4 linked regions of the Xenopus tropicalis genome follow. The protein of the gene in region 1 interacts with the protein of each later gene in a pairwise test. Links are inferred from orthologs where the notes say so. Each region holds a gene or a part of one and is shown in the gene's direction. Other genes may lie near its edges. The genes, in order: nav2, rbm15, pias2 and ing5.

Region 1 (4,103 bases):
TCTCTATCTATCTGTCATCTATCTATCTCTATCTATCGTCTATCTATCTCTATCTATCAATCTATCTATCATCTATCTGTCATCTATCTATCTATCATCTATCTATCTATCTCTATCTATCTATCTGTCATCTATCTATCTCTATCTATCTATCATCTATCTAACTATGAATCTTAGTACTCCCATAGGCGATTGGGTTTAAATAGAACAAACTCTCAGAGTATTACGAGAACACGGGTTACAGACTGGGGAAGAGGTTAAATACTGCCCCCAAGTGGCTTTCTTTGGAATTGCCTCTGAAACAATAAAAATAAAAGAGGGGCAGTTCACCCTTAACTGACTGTTAATATGATGTAGATATTCTGAGACAGTTGCAGTTGGTGCGTGTGTGGGAGCTGCTATGTAACATGTCACATTCTGTACTGGATCCTTAGGACGCCAGACCTCGGCTTTTCCTGATTGGCTGCATCGGTGTGGGCGGTAAAACTAAATGGGACGTCCTGGATGGGGTAGTAAAGAGACTGTTCAAGGTAAGAGCTGAGAGATATCATTCAGCAACACCAGGAAAGCACAGACTGCCGCTCCCCCCACACACTCATTGCTTCTCCCCATAGGAGTACATCATCCACGTCGACCCAGTCACCCAGCTGGGCCTCAACTCCGACAGTGTCCTCGGCTACAGCATCGGTGACATCAAGCGCGTCGGGAACGCCGAGACCCCCGAACTGCTGCCTTGTGGGTATCTGGTCGGGGAGAACAACACCATTTGTGTCACTGTGAGAGGTAAGTGTACCCCCAATCTGTGGGGGTTATAGAGAGCAAGGTCTGTCTTTCTATCATCTGTCTGTCTATCTCTCTATCTATTTATCTATTTATTTATCTATCTATCATCTATCTATCATCTAACTATAAATCTGTCTATCTCTGTCTATTTTTCTATCATCTAACTGAATCTGTCTGTCTATCTATCTATCTGTCTATCATCTATCTATCTATCTATCTCTCTATCTATTTATCTATTTATTTATCTATCTATCATCTAACTATAAATCTGTCTATCTCTGTCTATTTTTCTATCATCTAACTGAATCTGTCTGTCTATCTATCTATCTATCTGTCTATCATCTAACTATGAATCTGTATATCTTAATCTATCTTTCATCTATCTATCTGAATCTATCTATCATCTAACTATGAATCTGTATCTATCTATCTATCTATCTATCTATCTATCTATCTATCTATCTATCTATCATCTATCATCTATCTATTTAACTATCTCTTTCTTCTATCTATCTGTCTATCTATCTATCAATCATCATCTATCATCTATCTATCTATCTATCTATCATCTATCTATGAATCTGTCTGGCATCTATCTATCTTTCAATCATCTATCTATCTATCTATATTTATCTCTATCTTTTATCTATCATCTATCTCTTTCTATCATCTATCTATCTATCTATATTTATCTCTATCTTTTATCTATCATCTATCTCTTTCTATCATCTATCTATCTATCTATATTTATCTCTATCTTTTATCTATCATCTATCTATCATCTATCTATCTATCTATCTATATTTATCTCTATCTTTTATCTATCATCTATCTATCTATCTATATTTATCTCTATCTATCATCTATCTATCTATCTATCTATCTATCTAACTATGAATCTATGTATAATGCTGCCCTGTTCTCCCCCAGGCCTGGCTCAGAGCAGTCTGGATTGCCTGGTGTTTGAGACGCTGACCCCCAAGCCCATATTACAGCGCTACATCTCACTGTTAATGGAGCACAGGAGAATTATCCTGTCTGGACCCAGCGGCACCGGCAAGACCTACCTGGCCAATCGGCTTGCGGAGTACCTGGTTCAGTGGGAGGGGCGGGAGCTGGCCGAGGGGGTCATTGCTACCTTCAATGTAGATCATAAATCCAGCAAGGTAAGAAGCCGCGGCCTCTGAATCTCACGTTTCCCTATTGGTGTATATAACTACGCTGCTCACATCTGATTGGTTAATAGCAGAGAAGGCCTCGTATTCCTATTTAAAGTGTTTCCGGGACTTGTTTTATATTAAATGTGACCCCTGCTGCCCCCCTTAGCTGTTCTGGGCTCTGAATCTCTTGGTACCGCAGAGCCTTGTACTGCCCCCCAGCCAGGCGTAAGAGCTGTACACCAAAACACAGCCCCAGCCAGGCATAAGAGCTGTACCCCAAAACACAGCCCCAGCCAGGCATAAGAGCTGTACCCCAAAACACAGCCCCAGCCAGGCATAAGAGCTGTTCCCCAAAACACAGCCCCACCCAGGCGTAAGAGCTGTACCCCAAAACACAGCCTTGGGGTCTGCAGGCAGATGGATATCCTGCCCCCCCAGTCTCAGTGGGAACAGTTATAATGATCCGGATTGTGATGTTCTGTTTCCCAGGAGCTGCGCCAGTACCTGTCCAACCTGGCCGACCAGTGCAGCAACGAGAACAGCTCGGCCGACACCCCCCTGGTCATTATACTGGACAACCTGCACCATGTCGGCTCCCTGGGAGAGATCTTCAACGGCCTCCTGAACTGCAAATATCAGAAATGGTAAGTGACCCGGGTCCTGCCCTCAGGGGGGCAAGTGGAGAAAGTGGCCTCGGGCGGCCAACGTTACCCGGGGAGGCAGAACTAATGGTCATTTTCATTGTCCTTTATTTATTGCAGCCCGTATATCATCGGCACCATGAACCAAGCCACGTCCTCCACTCCTAACCTGCAGCTGCACCATAACTTCAGGTATTTATTATTCTGCCGTCATGTGATCAGAAACCGCTCTTGGCTGGAGCATTGCTTTGGGGCCCCGCCCCCCATGTTCCAGCCAAGAAGGGTTAATGAAGCCTGGGCGGCCGCTCACCTCTCCTACGTCTCACACAGGTGGGTGCTGTGCGCCAATCACACGGAGCCGGTGAAGGGCTTCCTCGGCCGCTACCTCAGGAGGAAACTCATAGAAACGGAGATCAACTCCCGGACGAGAAACCCAGAACTGGTGAAAATCATCGACTGGATCCCCAAGGTCTGGCAGCACCTCAATAAATTCCTGGAGACGCACAGCTCGTCCGACGTGACCATCGGTGAGAATGGCCCCGCCCTCTTGGAATGCACCCTGCAGTTTGCCCTGAGGGGGATTGAAAAAGGGGGGTTGGGGCAATAATAGATTGCCAAGAGCCCCTAAACTTGACTGGGGGTCCCATTGTGTCCTGACTTTCTGCTTCTGGTTCCACTACAGGCCCACGGTTGTTCCTCTCCTGCCCAATAGATGTGGATGGTTCCAGGGTCTGGTTTACTGATCTGTGGAATTATTCCATTATTCCCTACCTCCTAGAGGCCGTCAGAGAGGGACTGCAGGTGAGAGCCAGATCAATGTTGCACCCAATTAATGTTTCCTTTTCCTCTTCCTGATGTTTCCTGTTTAATCTTTACATTTCCCCTTCCTGATATTTCCTGTTTAATCTTTACATTTCCCCTTCCTGATGTTTCCTGTTAACCATTTCCTTTTCCCCTTCCTAATGTGTCCTGTTCAATGTTTACATTTCCCCTTCCTGATATTTCCTGTTTAATCTTTACATTTCCCCTTCCTGATGTTTCCTGTTAACCATTTCCTTTTCCCCTTCCTAATGTGTCCTGTTCAATGTTTACATTTCCCCTTCCTGATATTTCCTGTTAACCATTTCCTTTTCCCCATCCTAATGTTTCCTGTTTAATGTTTACATTTCCTCTTCCTGATATTTCCTGTTCAAAGTTTACATTTCCTCTTATTGATATTTCCTGTTTAACATTTCCTTTTCCCCTTCCTGATATTTCCTGTGTAACATTTCCTTTTCCCCTTCCTGATATTTCCTCTTCAATGTTTACATTTCCCCTTCCTGATATTTCCTGTTCAAAGTTTACATTTCCCCTTCCTGATATTTCCTGTTCAAAGTTTACATTTCCCCTTCCTGATATTTCCTGTTCAAAGTTTACATTTCCCCTTCCTGATATTTCCTGTTCAAAGTTTACATTTCCCCTTCCTGATATTTCCTGTTCAAAGTTTACATTTTCCCTTCCTGATATTTCCTGTTCAAAG
Region 2 (4,732 bases), on another chromosome or scaffold:
GGACCAACAATAAAGGCCATAATAAATAATAAAGTTCATAAAATATTAGAAAAATCCATTAAAACAATTATCTGTTAAAAGAATATTTTAAACAGGATACTGCCCTCAACAGGTCTATGCAGGGGACCCAAACATGTTTATTAAACATTTAACCCATTCAATTAGCTCCTACATCACTTAATTTATATCAATACCTGAAAACAAAAAAATGCTTGAACACATCCAGTAGAAGCTCCATATTCATCACTCATCTAAAAAGAAAAGAAGGATATGTCATCATAATATTCTAAAGTTCCATATTTCACATACAAGTATGGGACCCGTTATCCAGAAGGCTTGGGACCTGGGGTTTTCCAGATAAGCAGTCTTTCCGCAGAGAAAAAGGAAGCCATTTTTGGCATTCCCTTAATTCTGAACTTTCTGGATAATGGGTTTCTGAATAAGGGGTCCGATACCTGTACTTGATAGTTTTTGTTATCTATTTTGCCTCGCTTTGTAATATTGTGTTCAGTGCCTCACCTAATGAGTCACTTATTGGTGGGCATAAATTAAAAAAAATCTGGGAAATAACCTTTTTACGAGGTTCATGGTTTAAATAGGTTATTGGGATCTGGAGCTATATTCTCCTACATTCTGAACACATTGCCACTGTTCACATTTAATAAAGGGATCAATGCCCAAAACATTTTGTGTACAATCACATAAAAGTATCTGCAAGGCTTGAATTCTAGAATAAAGTACGCTGGAAAATTTGTTTTGAAAATTGCACTTTGCACATAACACGGTATTAATAAATGTACCTTATAGAACATTGTGTTAAAATGTTAAAGAGGTTACCAAAGGTCTACAATCTATATATCCCTGTATAGTAACAATACTGCATTAGGATTGTTTGACAATAACAGCAAAGGAAATACCAGTAAGATATGTTTGAGTGAAACACAAACATGAAATAGTGTATTAATAATCTGTAGGGGTGGTACTACAAAGGGAAACAGACTAGAGATTCAAAGGGCCTAGAATGGTCCTTACAAAAAAACAATTTTAATTACCCAATTTAGCATATGTTTAATAGTTCTAAAATGAATTTGTTGTGGGGACCAGTAACAACTAATTACACCACTAATAATGTGTAAAAAAAAAATCTACTTTTAACTGAAACGACGTTCTCGGCTTAAAATCACTTGAACAATTATGCACCTCCTATCCAGCAGCCTAGTAACCTGCAAAAGTATATAGAATCGATTCTACTGGGTTGTTTAAAACGCTTTGCATCTGATATGCCAATGTTGTCTCTTTCCAACGTTCCTCTTTACATTTCACTGAAATTTTACAAAAGTAAAATTGATATGAAACAAATGAAACCTTAGAAACCATTGTAGCACAAAAGATTTCACGCGTGAAAGGATGGATCGAAGCTTTAATAAACCTGCAACGTAGCCATTAGCCAACCCATAACGCCCCGTGGGAAACGCAGAGAAATAGCGGAAGTGACGTGCCCAAAGACCACCCCATCCTATGCGATCTTGTAAGAATGACTGCAGAGCTATCCAATAGAATTTTAAGAAAGCCAGAAAGTACCCAATCGCTATTCAGGGCGGTCAATTAGGCGAAACCGCTGCAAAATGGCGGAGTGTAGTTGTGTGTGAAGACACTATCATCCCGTAACTCGCCATGAAGGGAAAAGAGCGCTCCCCGGCCAAGGCCAAACGGTCCCGGGGGGCGGAGGAATCAACTCGCGAGAGAAGCGGAAAAAAACTGAGCTCCGGTGGAGGCAGTAACGGATCATCGGGAAAGACATCTGAAAGCAGCACAGGCCGCCGGAGCCTGCATGTGGAAAAGGCTATTTCCTCGAGCCGCGACTATGATCAATCGAGCAGAGCCCAGGGCTTGCATCGCTACGGCTCCCCCGGGGCAAGCAGTGGCAGTAGCAGCAGTAAAGGTGGCGCTGAGAGCCGAGGCGGCGGCGGCCGGGCTACAGAGAGCCGTGCAGAGCCAGAATACTACAAATCCTTGCGGATAAGCGAGCTGGGCTCCTCGCTAAGTGACGAGGCAATAGAGGATGGACTTTTCCATGAATTCAAAAAATTCGGAGACGTAAGTGTGAAAATCTCTCGCGAGGGGGACGAGCGTGTGGCCTTAGTGAATTTCAGGCGCGCCCTGGATGCCCGAGCCGCTAAGCACGCCCGCGGGAGGCTTGTCCTTTACGACAGACCCCTCAAGATTGAGGCTGTTTATTTGAATGTCGGCGGTACTAACCGGAGGCGCAGCCGCAGCCCTGGGGAGAAAGACTCGTATGGCGGACTCGCCGCCGCTGTTTCCACACTAGCCACACACAGGCACCCTCACGGCCAGCGCGCACTCTCCCCCGGCGGCCTGGGCTACAGAGACTATAGGCTGCAGCAGCTGGCTCTGGGGCGCCTCCCACCGGCTCCGGCAGCTCTACCCAGGGAGCTGGACAGGGAACGGGAATACAGCCTTTATGATAGCCGGCTAAGGTCTACCTACACAGTAGATCCCCGACTGAACTTTAGAGACGAAGACCTTGCTTTAGAGATTGATGCCAGAGCTAATCGTACACTCTTTGTTGGAAATCTGGATGTCGTTGTCAAGGAGAGTGAAATTTATAGGGTCTTTGGACGTTTTGGAACTATTACAGAAGTAGATATAAAACGAGCTGGTCGTGGGCAGCAAACGACCTATGGTTTCATAAAGTTTGAAAACCTTGACATGGCTCACAGGGCAAAGGTTGCAATGTCCGGCAAGATGCTTCGTAGTCATGCTTTAAAGATCGGCTATGGGAAAGTAGTACCAACAAACCGCCTTTGGGTGGGGGGTCTGGGACCTTGGGTACCAGTAACTGCATTGGCCCGGGAATTTGATAGATTTGGCACCATCCGTCAAATTGATTACCGCAAGGGGGAAAACTGGGCGTATATACAATATGAAAGTCTGGATGCTGCCCAAGCTGCCTGTACCCAGATGAGAGGCTTCCCTATGGGGGGTGACCATAGAAGACTTCGTGTGGATTTTGCAGAAGCAGATGTTCGTTTTCCACATCCTTATGTTCAGCCATTACCCATCCCTTATATTGATTTTGGAGAGGAGACACCAGGACATCGGACTAGTGAAGCCAGCAGAGCCAGAGATCGTTCACCACCTTTAATATTCAGGGACAGGGAAAGAGATGCTTATACAAACAATGATTGGGTGTCACCTCCTGCCAGAGACAGACACAGAGTCACTAGTGAATCTCTTGAAACAATAGAACGACGTGCAGATAATTGGGCTTTAGACAGAGACCGTGAAAGAGATGAAGTGAACAGAGATCAGCCCAGGAAAAGGAGACTGGATGATAGCCGTCACCTAGACAGATCACCAGAGAGTGACCGCTCTAGAAAGAGACACTGTGTCACTCCTGAACGTAGCCCTGAAGGCAGTGGAGGTCGAGACAACCGTTACAATGACTCTGATCGAGTAGCATGCCGCTCCTCACCTTCTAGAGATTGGAAGGGAAGCCTGGAGCGGGGTCAAGAAGACAAACATGATAGAAAAAACTCAGTTGAAAGAGAAAGAAGGCATCGTGTACCTGCAAATAAAAGCCCTTTAAAAAAGGATGAGCATCCAGAGGGCAACAGCAAAGTGAAACCTCCACAAAAATCAGAAGCAGCACACAAGCTGTGTCTGGCTTGGCAAGGTATGCTGCTGCTTAAGAACAGCAATTTTCCATCCAATATGCACCTTTTGCAAGGAGATCTTGGAGTTGCATCCAGCTTGCTGGTTGAGGGACCTTCAGGAGGAAAGGTGGCACAGCTAAAAATTACACAGCGCCTACGACTTGACCAGCCAAAGTTGGATGAAGTTACTCGACGCATCAGAGTGGCAGGGCCTAATGGCTATGCCATCCTACTTGCCATTCCTGGTACTTCCGAGGGTTCATCAGTGGACCAAGCCAGTTCAACACAACGACCCCTAAGAAACCTGGTGTCCTACTTAAAACAAAAACAAGCCGCAGGTGTTATCAGCCTGCCCGTTGGGAGCAATAAAGACAAAGATCATGCAGGAGTTCTTCATGCTTTTCCTCCCTGTAATTTTTCCCAGCAGTTTCTTGATGCTGAAGCAAAAGCCCTTGTGAAGTCTGATGATGACTACCTTATAATGATTATAGTTCGTGGGGCATCCTAGGTCCATGTTTGTATTTCTGTCTACTATTCACAAGGTATTATGGGATACAGTATAACTTTTAGTTTTTTTTTTTTTTGTAATCGCAAGTTCAGTCTTTGTATTGCAGTTTTTGATCTGCTTAGCAAAAGCATTTATGTAATTAAACAGGACCGGACCATATTCAAGTGTTGACGTTTCCTGCCTATTTCCCATTTTCTTTAAATTATATTCTCTTAGCATAGGTAATCACAATCTTCTGATTTTGGCAACTTCTTGAATTTTTTTAAGTGTGAGATTTCTGCTAATTTTTGAATACATTACTTCTTAAATTTGGTTCCCAAACTGTCACTGGACTGTAACACCAAAAATGTTCTCATGTGATGCTGTCCAGCAACAATTGGGAATACAAAGTTAAAAAAGACTTCCATGTATTAATTTGACCCGTTACCACATGCTCGAGTATCCACTTTTCTGCTAGTTTTCTGCAGCATGCAGTAGAGTTCAGTGTAAATACTGTATGTATGTGTATGTGTGTGTGTATATATATATATATATATATATATATATA
Region 3 (4,002 bases), on another chromosome or scaffold:
TGTTATATCTGTTGCCATTCAGGGAACTGGGTACTATCACTGATCACATGACCTGCAATTTCTAGGTGATATAATATTAGCATTGGATTACCCTGAGCTAGTGGAAGCCAAAAGGGATGATTGTATCTATCACTTCTCCAATTCTCCCAATGGGACCCTGGGCAGTAAAGCAGAATATATTACCACTCCCACCCCTTGTATCCAACATATATGGAACCTAGGCCCCTACAGATGCTAGCTTCTTCCTAACAAATCTAGCCTCCTGGGTGCCAGCTCTCCCACACATTAACACATATGAGTGAATTTATAGAGTTGCTGGTCAAACAATGGTAGATTTGTGTAGGTCCTGGAAGCACTGGCAGCTTGGGTAGAGTAAACCCTAATTAAAAAAAGAAACAAGCCTCTGATTGGCTGGAGAGTGAAAATTCAAAATTACCTCCAGCAAAATGAGCCTTCTGCAAAATAAATTCTGCTCTGTGCGGGTCATTTAGGTGGGGAGAGAGGCTCCCTCTGCTGGCAGTGAATATTCTTGCAGGCAGCAGTTTCTAGTTAAGGGTGATTGGGTATTACAGTAGAGCAGGGGTGGTCAATACATTGCGGTCCACCAGTCGATCCCCCGTGGATTTCTGGTGGAGCGCGATGAAGCCGGGGATGCGGAAGTGCTGCGTGAATGCTTATGTATGCAACGCAGTGTACGTACGCATTCACGCAGCGCATCCGCATCCCCCAGGTCTGGCCACCCCTGCAGGAAGTAGAGTTCTGGCTATTATGTTAGACATATACTCACTCCAAGCCTTTATAGATGACATTTTTGCCTAACTATATTAGAAATATTTTTTATTTTACGCAGTCTATTCATTTTGCCCATTTTCATTTTAACACTGAACTGTTCCTTTACACCTCAGGACAAATAAGACTTAGACCTGGGCTAAATGCCCAAAAAGTTGTTTCTGTGATGAAATGTTACCATCTTCATTATTCCTATAAGCCAACAGAATATAAAAAACCACCACCCTGCAAACTGCTGTGTCCTGTTTTGTTATCCTCCTGTGCTGGTAATTATGTTTATTATTTGTCTTGCAAAAGGGTCTTGTCATATCAGCCGTCATCAATAAGAGTCGGAAAAGTCGCTGGCATTGAGTCGGAGCCCATGCATCCCTCCATGGCAGGGTACGCGGACCATTTCCATCACCCGGCCATCGCTGGAATATCCGCAGAGTTACCAGGTACAGCTCTCTGCCGTTATCTGGATATAGAAGCCAAGCTGGTGTGCGTGCATGTTGTACAGCAGCACCCTGGCATCAATGGCTTCTCCTTACATTGCTGTGTTGCTGCTCTTTATAGGTCTGGATTTCCTCTCTCTTGTTTCAATGGATCCTCAGGTAAGTTCTGTTTGCTAAGAACCCCCCTTTCTCTTAGTTCTTTGCAACTGTAAGTTCTATAATCATTTATTTAAAGTGGGGTCTTTCATGCGCAAGTGTAATTGGGAAATAGGGGGGGGAAATATGAGGCCCCCACAAATCACTGCCCCTATACAAGAGCAGTCTTTCAGCCACAGTTGACGGATGGGCTGTGTATAAGCAATGAAGCGGGACAATTGCATGGAATTGGGCTGTGGTTGAGGGGGTCACAGGACAAGACAGGGCAAAAGTCTGTGCCCCTACTGCAGGAATCTGCCCTTGAGAACTGGACTTACCCTTAAAGAAGAACTAAAGATTAAAGTAGTAGGCTACAAATGTTGCACATTATGTTTTGGGCTTCTGTACCAGCCCAAAGCACTCACAGCCCTTTAGCAGGGAAGATCTGTGCCTCTAACAACGCCCCCAGTAGCCCCCCATCTTCTTTTCTGCTGATTCACTGCCATTACTGAACTTAGGGACTGACTGACAATATACTGTGTTTATATAATATAACTGTCACTATACAAGCCTAATAAACATGGCAGCTCAGAAACCAGTGCAGTGATCATCTGTAGCATCAACTTTTGTTGGTTGCTAGGGTCCATTTTAACTTAGCAACCAGGCAGTGGTTTACAACAGAGATAGGAATATGAATAGGAGAGGCCTAAATAGAAAGATAAGTAATATCAATAAAACAGCAATAGTTTTTGGCTACTGGAGGTCAGTAAACTCTATTTGAAAGTTGGAAAGAATCAGGAACGAATTCTAAAACTATAAAAAAAAAAAAATTAAGACCAACTGAAACATTGCTAAGAATAGACAATTCTATAAGGTGAACCACGCCTTTAATGATTTGTGATGATCCAGCAGATATTTGGTTGCTAGGGTCTTATTTTCCTTAGCACCCAGGCAGTGGGTTGAATGAGAGCTGAAATATGAATAGGAGAGGGCTGGAATAGAAAGGTAAGTAATAAAAAGTAACCAACTTTCCTAGAAAAATAGTTTTTGGCTTCTTGGGTCAGTGACCCCCATTTGAAAGCTGAAGAGAAAGGCAAATCATTCAACTATACAAAATAAAAAATGAAGACCAATTGAAAAGTTGCTGAGAATTGCCCATTCTATAAAAAATATATATACAAATTAAAAGTTAACGTAAAGGTGAACCACCCCTTTAAAGGCCTAGATCATTACAGGTCCGTGGACCCTATGGGCTGGCACAGTAAATGTAGGATATAAAATACAGCCCATAAAGGCTTTAGTTCTCCTTTATAACCGCCATTGTTCAGGCCATGACTGCTGCGTTTCGTTGCTGTTCTCACGCCGACTGTTTATTTCAAGCAGTACTATCCCCCTATGTTTTTGGATAGTCTCACCTCGGCAATGCCAACAAGCCACGTAACTGGCAAGCCTCGAACCTGGAGCAGCCGCCATGAAAGCCACTCGAGCGAGGAGAACGACTTGCCACCGAGTCCGAACGCTTCTAGAGAGTTCCAGCACATTCACATGCCTCCAGATTCGTGACAGCAACGCCCCCCCTTATTTATTCATTGACCCCCAGTGTGCTGGGAGAGACTTGGTGGAGAAAAGGACCTTTTTTTTTTTTTTTTTTTTTTATTGGTGAACTGCTGAACCAAGCACGCAAATATAAATGGCACTAGTACCGGGTCCCTCCGGATCTGCAGTTTTGTTTGATGTTTTGCAGGATGCATATGCACAGGTCTGTAAATACTTTGCTCTTCTACCCAGAAGGAAAAATGTATATATGTATTTTTATAAATAAAGACCAGGTCTGAACACTGGGCTTCTCTGGTATCCCGAGATGTAAAGAGAAGATATGCCCTGCTCCCAGCTTCTTGTAAGGGGTGTTTTTTTTTTTTCTTCCTGTATATCAGTGATCCCCAACCAGTGGCTCAGGGGTAACATGTTGCTCCCCAACCCCTTGGATGTTGCTCTCAGTGCCCCCAAACCAGGGAGTTATTTTTGAATTCCTGACTTGGTGGCAAGTTTTGGTTGGATAAAAACAAGATTTCCTACCAAATAAAGCCCCCTGTAAGCTGATAGTGTGCATAGAGGCCCCTAATAGCCAATCACAGCCCTTATTTGGCTCCTCCATTAACTTTTATGGTGCTTGTGTTGCTCCCCAAGTCTTTTTACATTTGACTGTGGCTCACGAGTAAGAAAGGTTGGGGATCCCTGCTGTATATTAACCCTATCCCTGCCAGGAACTGGTCCACTACACGCCCATCAGCACAGTAACAATGACAAGCATCACCTTTACCCCTCCCCTCTACAGCCGGATTTCATAGGAAATAATTTGGCAGCAGTAGAAGAGATTTTTTTTTTTCTTTTTTTAGAAAACGTTTTACTTACCCTATAGGTACCCGAGGGTCACAACCCTATAGCTGCCACCATAGGCACGGGCCCTATATGGTAAATATGCCCCTGCCTAGCAACAGAGGAAGTGGAAGATGTTACAATTACAATAGCTATCTGGTTGCTAGGGCCTTGTTTGCTTTAGTAACCAGGCAGTGGGTTGATTGAGAGACCGAAATATGATTAGGAGAGGGCTGGATTAGAAAGATAAGTAATAAAAAGTAACACT
Region 4 (4,103 bases), on another chromosome or scaffold:
TCAAGGCACTTACTCTTTCTCTGCTGGCGTAGATATGCCAGCAAGGAAAGGGCAAGTCTCCTCCCTTTCACTTGGCCTTGTGTTCGCACTAACAGGCACAGAAACAGCCTGTCAGCATGCACATGAAGTGCCTACGCCACTGGGAAACCACTGTCATAAGCCAAACCACTCTGCTACATGTTACTCCACCAAAGTGATGCCTGATGTCCTTCTTGAGTTTTGCCAACTGCCGTTCCACTACATTTTCAGACAGATTTTGACCCAAGAAGGGACATTACATATTGTTTTGATATAAACACCTTATATTCTGACTGACAACACTTTATTTGCTAGCACTTGTTCATACTGCTCTGCCATTCTTTACAAGTACATTGCTGGCAATTCAGTAGTAGGCCAGACTGGGATTCACACCAAAAATGATGCAGGTGGGGTAGAACATTACTTTCACCAGACTCCTCTTATAGTATCTTTGTGTATTGAAACCATGTAATGGGCCAAAGGTTATTGGGAGGTTTAAGTTGCCTATTAACTATAGCTGTACCTTTTGCTTTTTTTAATAGATAAGAAGAAGGAGATTGATGCTTTAGCAAGCGAATATATTGCTAAGGTGCGGGACTACACCCCTGAGCAGAGAGTACAGCACCTTCAAAAAATTCAGTCTGCCTATAGCAAATGCAAAGAGTACAGTGATGATAAAGTGCAACTGGCCATGCAGACCTACGAAATGGTGAGCAGCAGTTTAATGAATCCATAAATAACAAATGCCATGCATGACTTTAATAATGTCATTTTTGTGTGTAGAAATTATTATTTTGAAATATATTTGTCTGTCTAATAGGTCGATAAACATATACGAAGGCTGGATGCTGATCTGGCCCGCTTTGAGGCTGATCTTAAAGAAAAACTGGAAGGGTCAGAGTTTGATAGTCCTGCAGGACGTGGAGTAAAGAGTGAGTTACAAAATGTTGTGTATAAAAAATCTCGCTAATCTTTTCCTTCAACATTTAAAAATCCCTGCAAGAAGACCCACTCTTGCTCATTCCTCCTTCTCCCTTTACATGGTGCACTATGAATAGAGGTCCACAGAAATACTCACAAGTGGGAGAATACTGTGGCTTCCTAGCATATTTATTTCTTACCAGTGACAGGCACATCCAATGAACCAAGTATATTGATCCAAGTATATTGTATTCTGTTTAATGCGCCCCATAACGACAATGCATGTCTAACCAAACCTTATAAATGTGTTATTTATATTGTACATCGCCACCACCCAATACGTTCCACTCCCTGTATCAGATGCTCTGCCTGCTTGCGTGTTTGGCTGGCAGCTGCCACTTCTATGTTCTTACTGAGCCGGAGTTAATAACACTGCGTGAGCGCAGCAGCACATGCCCCTGTGTGCAATTAACTTGTGTGCCAAACTTTACCTACATGTGAAAGGACTGTCTGAAGGTCAAAAGCTAAGGATTGCCTGAAATGTTACGCGCGTCACATCGGTTCTGTGCTGATCCCTTAATGGTGCAGCGGCGCGTCCCATAATGGTGCAACGCTATGGTGCGTATGATGCCTTGCGCGTGCGTCTGCAAGCCCGTCCACGGGGGGGGGGGGGGATTGCACGCAAGGAGCGCATTGCATCTGCGAATCCATAGGCAACTACCGTATATACTTGAGTATAAGCCGAGGGTTACTTTTTAAGCACATTTTTAGTGCTCAAAAACTCGGCTTATATTCGACTATATACGGTACTCTGGAAGATAAATAGCAGTACATCAAAATTGGAGAAACAAAATTATTCATCCTAAAAAAACATAACTTTTTTGTTTTAAAGAGAATAGAGGTCAAAAAGAAAAACGAGGGTCAAGAGGACGCAGAGTATCTGAAGAGGACACTGTAAAGAAAAAGAAAATGAAAGGAGGGTGAGGAATTGTATCAGTTTGTTACTGTTCTAGTAACAGCGTAGACTATGTGAGACCTCTTATAGTTTCCAGGTTGAATGCCACATACACAATTTTTTTTTGCACCCTTATCAAGCAGCTGTGGCTTTAAACAAAACATTTACATAGTAACTTCCACGTTAATTGTCCAAAATATTACATTTTTCAAAAAGGAATAGATTGTGTAATATCAATAGGGCCACCAAACTGTCCTGAATAAGGGCTAAAAAGTGGTATCTTCAACTGCTGCTCCCTTATTTTTTAATGTGACTGCAAGAGCTGTGGATTTAATGGGTGTTTAAATGCAAGGGTACAGCTGTGTAAGTGTGTGAGTTAGGCTGCTGACCACTTTAAAGGTGAAGTACATTTAACATTTTTATGTTTTAGAATTTCCCATCCATAGCAATTGTTCAATTGCTGCTCATTTTTATATATTTTTTAAGTTTGCCTTCCCCTTGTGTGTCCAGCTCTCAAAAGGGGGTCACTGACCCCAGCAGTCAACTATTGCCCTTTGAGGCTGCAATTATAATGTTACATTTAGGCCTTCTCCTTTTCATGTTTCAGTCTCTCATTCCAGCCATTGCCTGGTTGTTACTGTAAATAGATTGGACCTTGGTAGCCAAATATCTGCTGACAAAAAGCTAAATAATTCAGAAACCATGCAAAAAATGAAGAATAAATTGTCTCAGAATACATTTATAGTTTTTTTAATCTGAAGCTGTTTAATGGGTAATTTACATGACCTAACTCGCTGGCTTGCTGATATATTTGTATTTGCCAGGCCTGTATATGCTGATTCAGTCCTGTCTGTGACCCCTTCGGATGTCTTGGATATGCCAGTGGATCCCAATGAACCCACATACTGCCTTTGCCACCAGGTGTCCTATGGGGAAATGATTGGTTGTGACAATCCAGATGTAAGTAATAAGTTCAGAATATTGTATGGATACATCAGTGTCCTTGCCTGGAAGTGTGTACTGTATGATTGGATTTAGAGAATAATTCAAATCCAAAATGCAATATTTTGTCTATATTCTTAAAAATTAGCAATAGATTGTTCAGCAGTTTCAGCTGATCTGCCTTGCTACAATCTGAGGATTTATTCTGTAGTGTCTTCACTTTTGCAATAGGATAACATTCTCAGAAATAAATTTCTACACTTATTCAAGAAAAGTGCAAGTGGAAATACAGGTTACATCAATGTTTTAGCCTCAGGTTTAAAACTATACCAGCATAACTACTAGAAACTAAGGTAAATTAATGTTTCAACTGGTTGGAATGGAAAAAGTAAACCTTTCAGAATAGGTTTCTGCTTTGTTTAATAAAGACCTAAGGGCATGAGAGTTGCTACAGCTTACTGATTTTATTGCACATTGTATTCTTTTCTCCTTTATTTTTGCGGTTTCTTAAGACAGTCTAATGATTATGTAAAGTGAATGTGTTATAGCCAAAGCTTATATTGCATGTAAAAGCAAGGCGGTTAGAAGTACAGTTCTATTATCTAGGAAATAGGGTGTATGTTTTTTTCCAAGGCACCTAAATGTGTAATTACTTCCTAAATTATTTGCCCACAGTGTCCAATTGAATGGTTCCATTTTGCCTGTGTGGATCTGACCACTAAACCTAAAGGGAAATGGTAAGTATCTATTGTATCAACTGAATTTTTGTTAAAAATAGGAATGCACTGAATCCAGAATTTTTGGATTCTGATGAATGCTAAATCCTCTGCAAAAGTGGAGGAATCTGAACTATAATTTGCATATTTTAATGGAGAAAAATAGAAAATGACACCTGTGAACAAAGTTTGTAGCCATCAATTACCAAGAGTTTTAATGTCATATTAGAATGATGATAAGGGTTTCAGTTTTGTTCTGCTGAAGCTCTGAATCCTTAACTGAATCCTGAATTTAGTTCATTCCTTTCATTTCATTTTAATTTTCTTGATGCAAGGACAAATTTTATTTAAAAAAAATAAAAAAAAACATAGGAATTGCTCCCCAGTGCACCAAACATTTTTCATCTATTGATGCCACCGACTGATACAGCCCACTGTCTTGGGGACTGAAGCAATTCTCACACTGAGAGTGGTGCAGCCAGGCAGAACATTTCCTGGAGCCACTGTCTGCTGCTATTTCCAAATGCATGCAGTCATTTTAGCAAATTAAA

The links.
Region 2: the proteins of nav2 (region 1) and rbm15 interact in binary tests that used the Homo sapiens proteins (3 or more experiments, as listed by UniProt). The two-hybrid records come from large-scale screens. The link is inferred for Xenopus tropicalis from reciprocal best matches to the Homo sapiens genes NAV2 and RBM15.
Region 3: the proteins of nav2 (region 1) and pias2 interact in binary tests that used the Homo sapiens proteins (3 or more experiments, as listed by UniProt). The two-hybrid records come from large-scale screens. The link is inferred for Xenopus tropicalis from reciprocal best matches to the Homo sapiens genes NAV2 and PIAS2.
Region 4: the proteins of nav2 (region 1) and ing5 interact in binary tests that used the Homo sapiens proteins (3 or more experiments, as listed by UniProt). The two-hybrid records come from large-scale screens. The link is inferred for Xenopus tropicalis from reciprocal best matches to the Homo sapiens genes NAV2 and ING5.

Annotation. Positions count from the first base shown.
Region 1 is NC_030680.2:4,470,608-4,474,710, forward strand, and holds part of nav2 (neuron navigator 2), read left to right. Parts: intron 1-434; coding exon 435-530; intron 531-614; coding exon 615-783; intron 784-1,713; coding exon 1,714-1,949; intron 1,950-2,432; coding exon 2,433-2,587; intron 2,588-2,704; coding exon 2,705-2,776; intron 2,777-2,914; coding exon 2,915-3,111; intron 3,112-3,266; coding exon 3,267-3,385; intron 3,386-4,103. UniProt on the Homo sapiens protein: Possesses 3' to 5' helicase activity and exonuclease activity. Involved in neuronal development, specifically in the development of different sensory organs.
Region 2 is NC_030678.2:72,275,005-72,279,736, forward strand, and holds the start of rbm15 (RNA-binding protein 15), read left to right. Parts: upstream 1-1,582; 5' UTR 1,583-1,674; coding exon 1,675-4,185; 3' UTR 4,186-4,219; intron 4,220-4,732. UniProt on the Homo sapiens protein: RNA-binding protein that acts as a key regulator of N6-methyladenosine (m6A) methylation of RNAs, thereby regulating different processes, such as hematopoietic cell homeostasis, alternative splicing of mRNAs and X chromosome inactivation mediated by Xist RNA.
Region 3 is NC_030677.2:206,585,760-206,589,761, forward strand, and holds the end of pias2 (E3 SUMO-protein ligase PIAS2), read left to right. Parts: intron 1-1,086; coding exon 1,087-1,226; intron 1,227-1,344; coding exon 1,345-1,382; intron 1,383-2,738; coding exon 2,739-2,921; 3' UTR 2,922-3,248; downstream 3,249-4,002. UniProt on the Homo sapiens protein: Functions as an E3-type small ubiquitin-like modifier (SUMO) ligase, stabilizing the interaction between UBE2I and the substrate, and as a SUMO-tethering factor.
Region 4 is NC_030681.2:125,709,867-125,713,969, reverse strand, and holds part of ing5 (inhibitor of growth protein 5), read left to right. Parts: intron 1-560; coding exon 561-727; intron 728-838; coding exon 839-950; intron 951-1,831; coding exon 1,832-1,919; intron 1,920-2,718; coding exon 2,719-2,854; intron 2,855-3,511; coding exon 3,512-3,573; intron 3,574-4,103. UniProt on the Homo sapiens protein: Component of the HBO1 complex, which specifically mediates acetylation of histone H3 at 'Lys-14' (H3K14ac) and, to a lower extent, acetylation of histone H4. Component of the MOZ/MORF complex which has a histone H3 acetyltransferase activity.